Struthio camelus: one gene and its partner. The protein of the gene in region 2 interacts with the protein of the main gene of each other region in a pairwise test. Links are inferred from orthologs where the notes say so. Each region holds a gene or a part of one and is shown on either strand. Other genes may lie near its edges.

Region 1 (7,506 bases), on a different chromosome or scaffold from region 2:
AAAAACCTGAAGAACACCACAACCAAAAAAGGGAAGAGTTTCCTTCTTATATAACAAGTTGAATCAGCCCATGAAGGAAGCTTTGAAGATGAGCGTGAAATCCAACAGAGCAGAAACCAAGGACGGGAGAAGGGAGGACATGACGGAGAGGAAAGTAGGACCACCGTGTTATCTGCTAAAAATCATTAGAACAGCTCAACTCAGCGCAACTGATCCTCTAGTCACCAATAGGAGGAAAGTATTTGCATGAAGAAGAAGTACTAGAGGATTACAGGTCCACTAAAGGTGCTGTGTGGCGGACAGTTCAGATAACAAAATGAACCATTAACTTAAATCTTCATTTTCTTTGCTTGTCACTTCCTTTTACAATAGAATTTTGGGATTACTTTTTTTTTTTTAATTCCATTTCCTAAATAATGGAAAACACTCCAGTTTGAGCTTGCTCACTTACTACTCACTACAGTACCATACGGAAATGCAGAGTAAAAAAAATTATTAGTTTTCATTACTTGGTGAATTCTGTATTTTCTACAGAAGTTCAGAGAAGAAACTACTTTGTACGCACATTCTACATTTACTATAGTTAATTGTCTTGAAGTTTAGACTGAGGCTAACAAATCATTAAAACAGGGAAAATGGCTTTTTACTTTAAAGTATGATACTATGTATACGTATAAAAATACACACTTGCTTTATGTAATTATTGCTATTAATTAATAACAGGGCCAAGTGAACTAAACTATCTCTGTCACAGGCTGAGATTTGCATGACAGATCAAAACACTAAACTCTCCAATTTAGGGTTACACTTTCACTGCAGTTTGCTTTCAACACTTAAAAGAATCCTCTGAAGTTGGATAAGCCTGAGCAGGGTTATAGCTCCATGACACCATGCCTTCAATAACATGCCAGTTTAAGAAGTTACTGCCTGGGATATTAGTTCCTACCCCACATCACCTCTTCACCTGTGCTGAGGCAACTCTTGAGATGTGAACCCTGTAAATCCACCACCCTTACTTTACTTTTAAAATAGTAAGAACAAGGGAGAACAAAAACCCTACATCCATTCCCAGTCTGCTTCTCCAAAAAAAGAAGAGGCAAAGTGGGCCAAGGAGTTGCAGTGTCTGAACGAATGGCTGAGTAACTCCACAAGCTGATACTGCAACCAAAGTCCCTTTTCTTATCAAATGGTCAGCTGAAGAATCTCAGCCTAAACAGTGAGTAGGGAAGCTGTGCTAACTTGGGCTGTAGCCTTTTTTTTTTTGCCTCAGAGGCTCACAGGTTTGAGTAAAAAGCACCACTGCTCCCAAGCTACAAGAAAAGAACACAATTAGAACAGTATCACAAATTCTGCTACTACAAAAAAAGGGTTCTAACACAACATTTTTTAAAAAGCCTCTTTCTGTTATGCTTTTAAGGATTAGATCCTCCAAGCTCATTGTTTCCTCTACAAATGGCTACATAAATCAATTCTAGCATTTTTCAGAAACAAGAAAATTCTTGCTTCACCAGCAGCTCTTTCCCTCTATCCCATTCCCTTGGCCAGAGCTCTTGCCCCAAAGCTCTGCAACTAGCATCTTCATTTCTATCAACTTCATCAAGCAGATAATAAAATACAGTTGTGAAAAAAGCAGGTAGAAAGAGTCCAACTGCAGAAACTCCTTCAAAATCACGGCAAAACAGATCTCTAAACGAGGAAAACACAGACCCATTTCTTAGGCTCTAAAAAGCAGCAGTGAAGGGAAATTCTTAAAATACAGAGCTGGGAGACTGGGCAGCAGGAACAACCAGTTCTTCCTCACAGAGAAGCATCAAGCCTTGGAACCAGCATCTTCCCATTCAAAATTTGATCTTACCAAGAATACCCCAGATAAGGAGAAAGCAGATGCTACTCTACTTTCCCAGCAATAAAACTGGAAAACACCCACACTTGTATATGGAAATCCAGAGTAACACAGTTTCCAACGCACGTACAAGGAGGCAAAGAGAACATGCCTACTCTCCAGCTACAACGTCCTTAAGAAGCAAATGAATCCCCACAGAAGTTAAACATCAGTTACGGTGCTGGCAGAATTACAACGACAGAGTTTTATTTTAAGCTTTGGCTATTAATATCTCCGGAATCTAAATTTTTGTATTCAGCTATTTTCACTCAGCTTTGTAGAACAGAGCTAAAGACCTCTGAATTACAGAACACTGACACAAGACGTTAAGGAGATACCTTATCGAGCAAAACCCTAACAATGCATCATTTCACCTCTGCATCACCTGGGAAACACAACACACAAACTTGTATTAAAGTAACCCGGAGTAAGTTTAGAGGATCATAGCCACATCACAAGGGATTCTCTCCTCGCTTTTCCAAGCGACTAATTCTTGCCCGAAACACCTCGCACAATTAACTATGACTTAAAAGTTAAAACGTTTGGTTTTTATTCTTTTCCTTACCGTTCCCCTGAAAAAACTTCCGAGACACGCCAGCAACCCCCCCCTTCCCCGGGGAGGCCGCACCCCCCCCAGCACACACACGGCCGAGGAAGCCCCGAGCCGCGGGACAGGGGCTCGCTGCTCCCTTTCAGCGCCGCTAACGGCACTGCCGGCTGCGGCCCTCAGGCCGCCTGCCCAGGAAGGCCCCGGCCGGCCGCGAGCCGAGGGGTCCCGCGGAGTAGGGGGAAGGGCCGCGGCCCCGCAACGGCCCTAACGGCCGCCCGCCCCCCCCCCAACGGCCGCCCCGCGGCTCGCGACCCCCGCCCCGGCGAGGCCGCCGGGCCCGAGGCGCCGTGGGGCGGGCTCCGCGCGCCATAAGCGCTGTCCCGCGCGGGCTGCGCACCCAGCTGGTGTGGTGCGTGGCGTGGCGTGGCGGCGCGGTCCGGCGCGGCCCGCGGCGGCGGCGGCAGCGGCTCCCGGCAGTGGCGCGACCCGCTCCGGCGATGGCTGACGTGGAGCCGCTCCCTCCTCGGGCCACATCGATGGTACGGCGGCCCCAGCGGGACACACCTCCCCTCGCACAAGAACGCGGACGGGGCGGGGCGGGGCGGTGCTGCGTCACGGCTCGGGGGAGGGCCTTGCCCCTCTGACGTCACCGCTTGCTCGCTAGGAAGCGCGGGCGGAAGGCCGGGGGGAGGGGAGCGAGGAGCGCGCGGCCGGCCGGGGCCCGCTCGCCATTGCGTCAGCGCCGTGACGTCATATGCACCATAGGGTGACGCTGCAGAGCTAAGCACGTCCACTGCGACAGCCTGGGCAGGTGGCACGGTGGCAGGCAGCACGGGGGCAGGCGAAGGCCAGGCCGGGCTCCTTCAGCCTGCCCCGCTTCTACATCAATACATGCATCGGACGTTTACAATGGAAAAACAACGCCAAATTCACTTTGTTTATCACACTGTAGCTTCAAATGTCTTTTGCATCTCTACCTGAAACACGGGCTTCCCTCGGAGACATCGCTAAAGAAATCTCTTTTCAGTAAGACTGCTGCCACTGCTATAAATGGGAAATTACTCTTCTCACTTCAACTGCTATTAGTGTAATAAAACCCAATTAAAGTGTCTAACGTTCGCATGATGTGCGTGCATGACACTTGGAAGAAAAATCTTCATTGAAGCTGATCACTAATAGCAATGGAGTACAGAAAATGCAATATGTGCATATTGCATTGCAAATGCAATCAAATTTTGTGACATTGAACTTAAATCCAAGCTGTCACTAAACAGAGTCCTTGGGTAGACTCTATAGCACAAACCAAAGTGACAAAACCAAGAAGGAATACAGAGACTAGATAAGTCAGGGGACCTGAAAGGGCAATTTAATATGTTTCCATCATTACTTACATGTAGCGCATGCATTAGTGAGCTAAAAAAGCCCTTGGCTACCTGATGGCTGTTTGATGGCCCTAAAGAAATGAAGTCATTCATTTCAGTTTTGAAAGACCTGAGGTTTATTAAAAAACACAACTGAAAAAGCTTACTGGCAGCTTCATGCTTATTCTGTCTGCAATAATTCCAGTAAACACTCATAATTAGAAATGTCTGTCCAAGTCACGAGTGAGACAACCACAATAAAACAGGCGGAAGCTTGATGCATCCTACATGTTCTAGGACTACTTTGTAAATAGAGGGATTCAAAGTCCTGTCAGTGCAATACTTCATGAGCACTATATTTATATAAAGCAACCGAGGGCTCACAAATCAGTTACTGTTTCAATGTGACAAATAGTACATGATTGCATCTTGATAGCACATTGATTGTATGAAAGTAGTATTTGAGTAGCTATTTCTTCAGATTTAAAAAAAAATGAACAGTACATTCCAAGAAAGATTTATTTCCACTTGTCCTTACAAGTTAAAGACAGTATGCTTTTCATTAAAAAAACAGTATTGTGCACTATTTAGAAAATGGTAACACCTTTCTTGTCAAAGAAAATATGTCCAACTATCCTACCATTTAAGGATAGATGGGCTAGTTTGTTTGTTTGTTTTTATAGCGTAATCCTCAGAATGTGTCAGTAGAAGACGCATATAGGTCAGGAGAAAGGTTACCAGCAGATGGATATATGTTCCTGTATAATTATACATAGGTAAACACACAGCAGAATTCATCCATCAACTAGTGCTCCATGGGCTCCTCTGCCTTTTCCGCAGGTTCATCAGCGGGCGGAGCAGGCTTAAAGAGAAGAAAAAAAAAAACATATTATAGAAGGGAAGAAAACAGTACCTAGCATATCCGCTTTACACTAGATTGAGTATCACAAGTGGTAAAAGTAGCTCACATAAACAAATAGCTTACAAGCAGTATTATATAAATCAAGCATGGAGAAGGATAGAGCTGGTAATTAGAAGACTTGAGGAGGCATCTTGGGACAGACACCAGGAACATATGTAGCCACTTCTGCTACAAGAAAGTGAAAAAAAGTAATCTTAAATAAGGAAAGAAGATGAAGACATTGGAAAAGCCTTCTGCCAATTTATCGTAAACTGATTTAATAAGCAGCTTAGCCTCCAGCTTCAGTCTTTAGACAAAGATGATATGTTGCCTCCTGTTTTCATGTAGCAATGTCAAATTTTAAAACTGCATACCTAAAACCCTACTACACTAAGAAAGCTAAATGTCCTAAACATAATAGGTCATACATCACAAAATGTTGCCTTTCACCAAAGCCTCTTTATTTGTATATAAAACACAAACCTTTCTCTGTGGTCTCTCCTCAAGACCTTCTAGGAATGGTGCTACGTCATCATCATCATAGATGGTAAACTCCATGTCTTTGCCCACAATTCCAATGGAAACATTCTGTTAAGGAAAATTTTGAAAGAAGTAAGACACGTTTTTCTGCAAATAACTTGAATCTGTTTCACAAGTGAAAACTGTAAAGCCATTAAGTTTCCTCCTGTGATAAAGGGATTCACTTTGCTATTGTGTCTACTTAAGGAAGAGAGGAATTCCGAGATTCCCTTTTTGGTAGGTTGTACTAGAAAAGGAAAGGGAGGCAGAGAGGGAGATTTATTCCCTACAAAAGCTATCATGCTTTGAGATCTTACCAGTAAAATCACTATTCAATGATTTCAATTTCTATTTTTTATTTTAAATAACAAATACCTGATTTTTCAAAATCACTGATTCTCATCTTTTTTTTCCCCCCTCCCTTTTCCTTATCGTAAAAGTTCTAACAAAACAAGATGGGCTAAGAGTAAAAATCTTAAACACAGATAAGGGCAGATCAGCCACAAACATAACACTAACTTTTGGTAAGAGATCTGCTTAGAAGTTTCTTGTTCAAGAGCTGGTCAGTTCATATTTCCTGGCAGAGGCTTTGCATCTTTTTGGTATTGGATGCTCAATCAACTGTTTGCATAGCTGTGCTCTGACTGAAGGGGCAACTCCCCCCTTCCTTTCCAGTCCTTTCCAATTGCTGATTGGGCTTACAAAGCAAAGTGATGATCCAGTTGTGTTCAATGCATCTTAAACACTGATCAAACCTTAAAATAGAATATTTTACGCAAGCAGCCAGGAAAATGATGCCTTACTTAGACAAAAGTATCATTTTATTATGGTAAGCAAACAAACAAAAAAAAATTACAGATGAAGCTGTAGGTAAAGTTGTCACATATGAAATGGAGATGACGCTCTCCACCACTATTTGGCTTCCAAATTTCAGTGCCAGTCATACTTTACATTAATTTTGTCATAGCAATTTCTAATAACAATGGCAGTAAAATTTCTTCTTAAACACACAAAAACAAACAAAAACAAAACAAAAACATCCTAGTATTTACCTTGGTGGTCAGATCTTGTTCAGCAGGAAGAGTCTCTCTCAGGGCACGCAGTCCATGCTTAACTAGCTCATTTAGATTACCTACAAATTAAACGCAATTAGAAAGACATTTACGAAATAATACAGTTGAGTCTCTTGAGACTCTTTTGCCCTTCCTCCTATTCCCAGTTGACAACTAGAAAAATCAACCTGGCTATTTTGACTTCCAGAACTGCGCTCCTTATGTATTTCCGGTACTGAATATAGAGTTGGTTATCAAAGTATACTTCAAGAAGTGAGCCTTTCCTTACACTTCAGGCCAAATGCATCCATTTTTGGCACCTGCATTGTCTTCAGTGCAGTGATACTCAAGCTATTTTTTCCCCAACCAGACACACAGTAGCCTCCAAATAACTTTCATATAAAAACAAATTTGCGATTTTAAATCCACAACCTAGAGACTCATCCTGAAATATTATGCCTTCTCTGTAATACAAAGAATTGCTCTTTCCCTGAGTTACACAGGATGGAGACTTTGTACTTTTTTCTCAGCCTCTGAACAGAAACTTCTTTTTCATTAGATCTAACAAAAATCCAGATGTTAGAAATGAAGATTTGTAATGTATTCTTTACAATTATTGTCTTCATGCAGATTTACACTTACACTAAACTTGGCTCCCAAAGTTTATCTTCCCATTTTACTAAACACAAAAGGATGGAGCAATAGCACGAAAAAAAACTGTGCAACTGATGAAGACCATCAGATAGACAGAGTTTCATTACTCACAGTCAGTAAACTCAGTCATGTGCCTCTCCAAGTAAGTTCGAGCTGACTGTGAACGAGCACCAATGGACATTGCTTTACAGTCAAAATAGTTTGCAGAAGGACAGGTCTGGAAGATGTGAGGACCCATATCCTACCAAAAGGGAAAACAAACAAACAAGTAAACAAACAAAAACAATACATGTTTTTTTTTCTAAAACAAAGATTTGCTTCATGATACATCACATAGCTTATGTCTAAGCACAGATATATTTTATATTGTTTATCATACCATTGCTCTTACCAATTGCTTCAAGTCTTATTCTAAATAAATAAATAAATAAACAAACAAACAACAATCCTCCTTCATACTTTGTTATTTGAAACATAATTTTTATGCAGGTAGGATAGCAGGCACCAAAAATCTTTCTTTCTCTGTTCCATAAGCTGTACCATGCATACATATGCTTCCCACCTCATGGCTTGCAGTTAAATATTTC
Region 2 (7,875 bases):
ATAACAAATCAATCGCTCTTTTCTTTGTTGTCAAAGACACTTTAGTTAAACTTAAAAAGAGAATCTTCAGGTACCTAATATTCCATGAGAAAACCTACTGCAGATTCCCACAGTTATAGACTAAAGAGCACGTTTCAACAAAAGAAAGCATAAGATATAGCAGATGCATTTTTCCTACTCTAGATGTTCGTCTTCAGGGTAACTTATTTCTTTCTTCTTGGGCTACTTACAACGCAAGTAATAAATCTGCAGTCCAATTATCAAATCTATATAGACTGTTCGAATGTTTCTCTTCCAGAAAGTTTCATTCAAAGATAAGTAGCTCAGGAAGGAACTTCAGCAGTCCAGTATAACTTACACATTTTAAAAAGTTCAGCAATTGAGAGGCTTATCTTTTGTCAGCTCACTACTACGCTTAAAGGTTCTCCATGAAAATATCTGTTGAAACTATCTCTTGCCACACACCAACAATAGGTCATCTAACATTCTTTTTATGTAGCATGAATACCTCCCATGTAGTTCTTTGCAGAGCTTTCAAAGAAGGTGATAATTGTTTACTTTGAGCTCTGGAAACACTATCCCAGGTCTGAAAACCTCAGCTGAACCCTTATTTAATCCACTACACATAGCAAAGTCTGGACTTGGAACTTAAGTATTATATATTGGTAACTATCACCCTAGTAAGTGAATTAAAATACTCTGGATGCTGCTTCAGCCTACTATACCAGACTCCCTCAAGAAGGCTTTAACAAGTGTGTGATCATGTCATACCAGGTTGGTAACTATTTTCAAAATGTATTTAACAGGATTAAAACACCTCCAAGATGACAGGAAATGTTATGACCTTTCAGTGTTCCATACAGACATCTGAAAGATCAGTATTTGCTTTCTGTTCCAACTTCTTCCTCTGTCCATATAGGCATCACTGACTCTGAAGAGGTGTTAAAGAAGAGGCCATCATATGCCTGTTCTTTAAAAGCAATTCTTACAGATAATCACTATAATTAGCACTACTTTATATAATGCACAGCATGCCTAGTCTCTCAGGGTGTCATAAAAGCTTTTGAAAGGGAAAATAAAGAGCACAGAGGAGGAAAAAGGAATCCTCAGAACCCCAGGAAAGGAGACAGGAAAAGAGCAAGAACGCGTTCTTAAGACCAGTAGCTCTGAGTTTTTAAGTGTATACATGTGCAAGAGTAAACTATGTTAAGTAAACTCACCCGAATACAACTGAAACAACATAGCTTGGAGCAATGGGGACACAGACGTGCATCACGCAATTTCTCCATACAAATAAAACATCGGAATACTTCAGCAATGCTCTGCAAAGGTTAGATTAATGCTATTGTTATGCCACAAACGTCAAACATTTATTTTCTAGGCAGAATGCCAGGTTTAATAAATAGAGTCCTATTCCAAACAGCTATGCATACTGCATCTTGGAGTAGGGTACCGGCTCAAACATCATGGCTCTCTTCCTCATTTCCTTTTACATCCCACCAGCACTCAGTGTCCATTTTAAAACGCTATGCTTCTTCCAGGAAGAATTTCCTTGTTGGATTTATCTTTTACCAACTAGGCATTTCTGTAGCCAAGAGCCATTATTCCTATTTGTATTCCCATGGTTGACAGTTGCCAGAAACAACTGTGCTGTATATGCAGATTCTCAGCCTATGAATTTCAATGTACTGGCTACGCTATGACCAATTCAAAAGCACATTAAGTACCTGTATATATCATACAGAATGTTAACTAGAAGGGTTGAATTGGACAGGTTATTTTCTTGACTTCTGTAAGACTTAAAATAATTTAAGGTCTACCATTACCATTAGATCCACAATTTCTCTGCCCCCCCCCCCCCCACTAAATTAATCTTGGGCAATAAAATCTGGTTTAACATACTGTTTCACTATACCCATTCCAACAGAGAAGTAATTTGTTCTTGAATATAACCACTTCATCTCTCTCCATTCCCAAAATTAGGAAAGTATTGCAAAATATCAAACCATATTTGCTTGTCACACTGATGGATTTTTCACCAATAAGGATTTTCCAAATATAGACTGCATGACTTGCCAGAAGGCACATTCTAAGAAACAAGAGTAAGGTTTGGAAAGTCTTGCAGCCTGTATTATATAGGAGTTAGATCCCTTCTGGCCTTACCTAAAGAACTTTGAAAGATTTTTTCAAATGGGCTATTTTTCCCTCCAGAGTTAAAACTATCATCGGCACAAAGCGAGCCGTATCGTCAATTTACAGATATCACAGCATCTCCTGTACCCTGATGTCCTTTTTAATCGCTGTAAAACCAAACAGATGCATTTACAGGAAGCTACGCGTTACATCTTTTAAACTCTTCGTCGGCTCGGCTCTCAGCACAGCAAGGTAGACAAGGCGTTCAGGTTACTCCTCTCGCAGGGCGCTCTGCCCTCACGCGTGCCAGAGCCGGTTCTGCCGGTGTCAGGGTCTCCCTCCACCTCAGGAACAGGCACCTGCCACGCTCCCCGGACACCTTCGCTAACCCGGGCCGTGTAAAACGACCGCGCGCCGCCTGGAAGCGCTACCGCCTCGCAGCCTTCCTCCCCACCGCCGTCGCAGGCGGGAAAGGCCCGCAGAGGAGCCGCTCTCCCCTCACGGGAGGGAGCGGAAGCCATCGCCAACCCCCTCCCCCCCCGCCAGGCCCCCGGCGGGGGAACGGCAGCCCGCTGCCCCGCAGAGGCGCACCTGGGCGGGCAGCGCCCTCCGCCGCCCTTCCCGCCCCCCCCCCCCCCCCCCCCCGGCGCAGCGCCACCGGCAACCGCCGCCCCGCGGCTCACCTCCACGCTCTGCTCGTCCATGGCCGCGGCTCGGCCGGCGGCGGAGCTGCTCCCCGGCCCCTCTCCCCGCCGCAGTGCCCGGGATGGGAGGGAGGGAGGGAGGGAGGGGGTTGTGCCACAGCGCCGCGCACCCTCTAGGTGCCGGCCATGTTCGCCGCGGCGCGCGGACTGCTCCGCCCTGCGGCGCCGGGAGCGGGCCCGCTCGCCCCTGCCCCGCCGCAACGCGCACGCGCCGCGCCCGCAGGAGGCGGGGCCCCGCCTCGCCGCCCGCGGCCGTTGAGGGGCGGCGCTGCCCCTCCCCCCCAACGGCGCCGGCCTCCTGTCAGACACAAACGCTCACAACTGACCGGACTGAGGCCTGCTCTACGTATTAACGAAATCAAAGACGAGCCCCTTCACCTACCAGAGAGGCGCAGCGCTCAGGGCCCTCTTCCCCGCGGGCAGCTGCTGTCATCGCTAAGGCTTAGAGCCCTTTGAACAAAACTCCCTGCAGTTGTTGCAGGAGAAACACGCTCCTCAACGCCTGTTTTTATCCAAGCTCAAACTTTGCGATCCTTTTGTAACAATTATCTGTGTACGCATGACATTTATTGAAAACAGACAGAAGTACATTAAATGTTTATACAGATTTTTCACTCAGAAGACAGTCTATTTGACAGTGAAGACAAAAATGTTACTCGCATAATATATCAAAGTATATAGAAGAGTTCAGTGCTTAAAAACAGGTGGCTCATGTGAATTCGGAGGGCTGCACTGATCACTGCATCCTCTGCAGGGAAAGGATTTTCCTTGAAGTGTTGGCTTTGATTTTGGGATTGTCTCTTTCCGTAGTGCAGTAGTAAACACAAATTATAAGAGTCACACGGGCAAGTCGGTTACTTTCTCAGTGGGCACAAATTGAAGGACGGGAAATTCTATTTCAACACTAGAAAACTTTTCTTTTTTTTTTTTTTTTTTTTAAACTGCGAGAGTGGTGAAACAGTGGAACAGGTTGCCCAGAGAGGGTGTGAAGTCCCCAGCCTTGGAGATGCCCAAAAGCTAACCGGACGTGACCCAAAGCAACCTGCAGAGACCCCGGGCAGAGCAGGGGGTTGGATTAGATGATCTCCAGAGAGCCCTTCCGACCTCGGCTGTTCTGTGATCCTGTAATTTCATTGGACTGTAACAAAGACAGCGCACATCAAGGCAAAACGAAAAGGTCAGGGGCCAGCGGACATTTAAAAACATATATAATTAAATCTATGGCCTCCTTAGCTTTAATCATTTATTCAGGAATGTAAGTACAATTAAATGGTTTGGGTTATTCATTGTAAAAACCCATTCAGGAATGTAAACAGGAATATGGAAAAGTCACACGGTTAACAATACTCTTCAAAAATGCATCTACGATAGACCTATAAATGTCCAAGATAAATTTCCAACCTCAATGTTTAACTCTGCAATTTTAAGTTTTATAAATAGAATTTGTATACAGAAAAATTAACAGCTTTCTAACAGTGTACTGGTAACTCCCAGACATCAGAGAAATACTTCCTTGTTAATAATCCAGGAGCTATAACCAACATGCTTGTGTGTCAAATAAGAATGGACTGAGCTTTCATTTACGCCACTAATTTAACATTTCCATGTTTGTCAAGTTCCACAACAGAGAGTTCCTTCAAGATGCGTACTCTTGAGTCAGTGGCTTTCATATTCATCTTGTTCATCTGTGAAACGCTGAGTGCTGCTCTGCAAGACAAGAGCAAACTATTCAGCAAAGCAGGGTATCAAACATCAGGCCTGCCAGAGAGTGACTAAAAAGCCCATACTGTTTAGAAGACTGATTTTTGCAAGGGCTCTGCAATTCTCACACTTATGCACATTGCCATCCATTTCACTGTGCTGCTTCAAAGAACAGTCCAAGCTCAGTGTCAAAGACAGAATTGTTAGGTTAAAAGCTTCTTCATTCTTTACCATCAGCCTGTGAGAAATCTGCAGCAGAAATCACAGACAGAGGTCAGGGCTCAGAGTCAAGGGCTAGAGTCAGGGTCTGGGGTCAGGACTGAGGTGAGGAATTTGGGTTAGGGTTTTGCTTTTCCAGGTTATGAAAGCTAGAAAGGTTTTCCAGTATGACTGTGTCAGCAAAACTTTTCTGAGTAGACCCAGTTTTGGACATCTGTTCAGTGACTCCAAGGTTAAAAAAAAAAAAAAATCTGTTTCTGAAGAACTGGACATGCAGTTTTGAAAATTATCAAACGATATAAACCATTTTTATATAAATAAATTTGGGGAGTTTCCTAGGAGGGCATATCACTTTGGGCTATATACCCAACCAGTAAAGGCATAAGTGAGGGAAATCAAATTTTGAAGTTATAGTAGAGCAGCAAATAGTTAACCACTTTCAGAGTTGACAACTGTTTTTATTCAGTTTAAAAAGGCTGGAATTTCTTTACAGATTATAAGAGTCTTATTAATGGATTCCTTCAAGTCTTACCTGTTCTTATTGATAACAAAGTGGTTAAATAACTCCCTGTAAAAATTGTTCAAGTCTGCCAGCTTAACAGTACTTCTGATACTCCTTGGTACAGTCATAAGCGTTTCTTCAGTCAATGGTTTGAATTGTGATTCTAGAAAATTGAAAATAGAAGGCATTTATTTCTTCAGAAATTAGGCCACAGATAGATAGTACTTTCATACCTTTGTAAGAAAACTCCTAAATGATTCTGAAAAAGATTTTACTGCAGGAGGAAGGAGAGAGGGAAGACACTCCCTCCAAACTACCATTGTTTCTGCCGACCTAGTGAAAAATAATTTAATTTGAAATTTGATATGGATTAATAAATTTGGTCTGTCAGAGACTAGTTAAAAACAATCACTAAGAAAACTCCTTTTTATAAATAAGGATGAACAGATTAAGCAAGAGTTATTTCTATGGCACAACTAGTACACCATTTTCTTTCTTCCAGACTAGAGGCACAACAGGATCCACTTAAATCCCCTCATCAGCAAGAGCAGCTCCCAGAGACATGGGAGCTACATGTGGAATATAACTAAGCGCTCAGTTTCTTATAGTAAAGTATAAATTCTTCACTTCATGTAAAAGCAGTAGTTACTAGAGCTTAAGAGAATGAAAACAGTGAATTTACTGTGCTGTTACTGAAGGTTTTTTTACAGTCTCTGTCTTTTTCAGAGAGTAAAACAGCTTAATTCATTAATCCCTGAATTCTAGATAGTAACTCTAATAGTTCTGGGATACTTAAACATATGAAGTTCAACACTGAAGATGGAAGCCTTAGGAAAGATTGATATTATTTGCAAAACTTATTTACAGGGCCTGGGGTGGGAGGAGGCGGGGGATCAGTCTTCATGCTCAAAAAGAAAAGGGAGCAGTAGAAAGATTTTTTTCCCCAGCACTCACCTTCAGTTGAGTCAGGGACTGTAGATTCCGAACTAAATGGCTAAAAATAAATGAGAGATAATTTCAGGATTTGTTGAAATTTTATTTAGAAATTAGTTTTTACAACGAGCATTTCTGTATTAGTAACTACATTTTACCACTGGATACCAAGGATCTCACAGCTACTGAAGTTAACAGCAAAATCTTATGCGTTAAATAAATTCCAATTTCAAATAAGAATAGGTTTAAAATGCAAACAAAAAGATTCATATGCAAGTCAGATAAGCCTCTTCAGCTTTCTCCTCTGCATTCCAGTATGGATCTAGCTGAAAGCACTGCACATGCAGCAAAGGAAAAAGACGGCTTCCCTGTTCTCCAGCAACCCTCAGAGTTGACAGTTTTGACAAGCTAAAGGTAGCTATATCTAACTCTTCTCTGCCAGAAATTCAGCATTAACAACAATAACAAAAAAAACAAAACAAAAAACCAAAACAGGGCCTTTGTGGTATCTTTCCCTTCTTTCTGTCTTTCAGAGACTTTTAGAATATCTTCAAAACACACGTAATAACAACATAGGGACTCATACCAATTAAACAACCTTTAATGTGAGCAGGATATAGCTACATTTTGCACGAGGTCTGTTTTTATGCCAGCTGTATCTTAAGGGCTTCAGAATTAAATAATGGAAAGACAAAAATTGAGAGGATTTAATCAAGGTAGGAGAAGATATTTGCAAAGGAAGAGTGAATGAAGCAGAAAGCCAGTATCATACTGGAAGTCTTTCATGCAAACCAACCGTGGCAATAAAGGGACAGAAAGAGAGACATCCTTTGATAGAAAAGGAGTAGGCAGTGAGAAGAAGTAGAAAAAGATAAGGTCAGTAAGATAATTACAGTCTGCTAACTTTCTTTAATATTTTGTTTTTAATGTAAGACCCATACCAAGTCTTTGCAGATGATTATCACTATTAGAATGTTGTGCTTTCAGGAGCTTTGAGAAAATATCCGACTTTTTAACAAGTATCATTTATATCTACATTCTATTGTGTTATATATTATGTGCAATATGCTTCAATTACTCTTACTCATACTCCAACCTGTATTTAATATTTTACAGGAAATTAAATTTCTCTCCATTTTGATATATATGAGCTTGAAGCAATTACACTCTTCACTCCCACCCAAAGGCTTCTTATATAATGTGTTAACAGACTAACAAGAAGAGCGAATAAACACAAACATTTCCCAATAAAAAATAAGAAAAAAAAGTCTTCTGTCAAAACAAGTTCTTCCACCATGGACAATTTAATTGGAACAAAGCAGCAACCTAATCAACATACAATCAAAACAAAAAGGGTTTGCCAAAAATTGTAGCGCCATTCCTTAGAATACCTCTGAAAGGAATGGAATTTAAGTCATAACAGCCCTCCCAACTTCAGTTGAACTACTCAGGATTAATAGTTTCTGAAATACAGACACTGTCGCCTAATTACCTCTTCCGCTAGCGATTCCATTTCTTTAACAGTTTGGCAGGTTAATTGTTGTGCTGCAGCCTGTTCTTCTTCTGACAGAGGCAAGCGCTAGAGAGAAAGATACAAGAAAATTCTGTTACTTTCAGTTCCTAGGATGATCGTATTTACAGAAGAACTCAATGTTTGTCTAATCCTTTTCTCATGGAAGCTAA

The links.
Region 1: the proteins of TRIM37 (region 2) and COPB1 interact in binary tests that used the Homo sapiens proteins (3 or more experiments, as listed by UniProt). The two-hybrid records come from large-scale screens. The link is inferred for Struthio camelus from reciprocal best matches to the Homo sapiens genes TRIM37 and COPB1.

What each region holds. Positions count from the first base shown.
Region 1 is NC_090946.1:22,178,823-22,186,328, reverse strand, and holds the start of COPB1 (coatomer subunit beta), read right to left. Parts: upstream 3,094-7,506; 5' UTR 2,830-3,093; intron 2,721-2,829; exon of another isoform or gene 2,448-2,720; intron 25-2,447; exon of another isoform or gene 1-24. Other genes in the region: PSMA1 (proteasome subunit alpha type-1), read right to left, coding at 4,599-4,655, 5,178-5,282, 6,266-6,345, 7,031-7,160. UniProt on the Homo sapiens protein: The coatomer is a cytosolic protein complex that binds to dilysine motifs and reversibly associates with Golgi non-clathrin-coated vesicles, which further mediate biosynthetic protein transport from the ER, via the Golgi up to the trans Golgi network.
Region 2 is NC_090957.1:18,435,081-18,442,955, forward strand, and holds the start of TRIM37 (E3 ubiquitin-protein ligase TRIM37), read right to left. Parts: upstream 3,051-7,875; 5' UTR 2,838-3,050; coding exon 2,817-2,837; intron 1,323-2,816; coding exon 1,221-1,322; intron 1-1,220. Other genes in the region: SKA2 (spindle and kinetochore-associated protein 2), read right to left, coding at 4,418-4,544, 5,290-5,422, 6,214-6,253, 7,685-7,771. UniProt on the Homo sapiens protein: E3 ubiquitin-protein ligase required to prevent centriole reduplication. Probably acts by ubiquitinating positive regulators of centriole reduplication.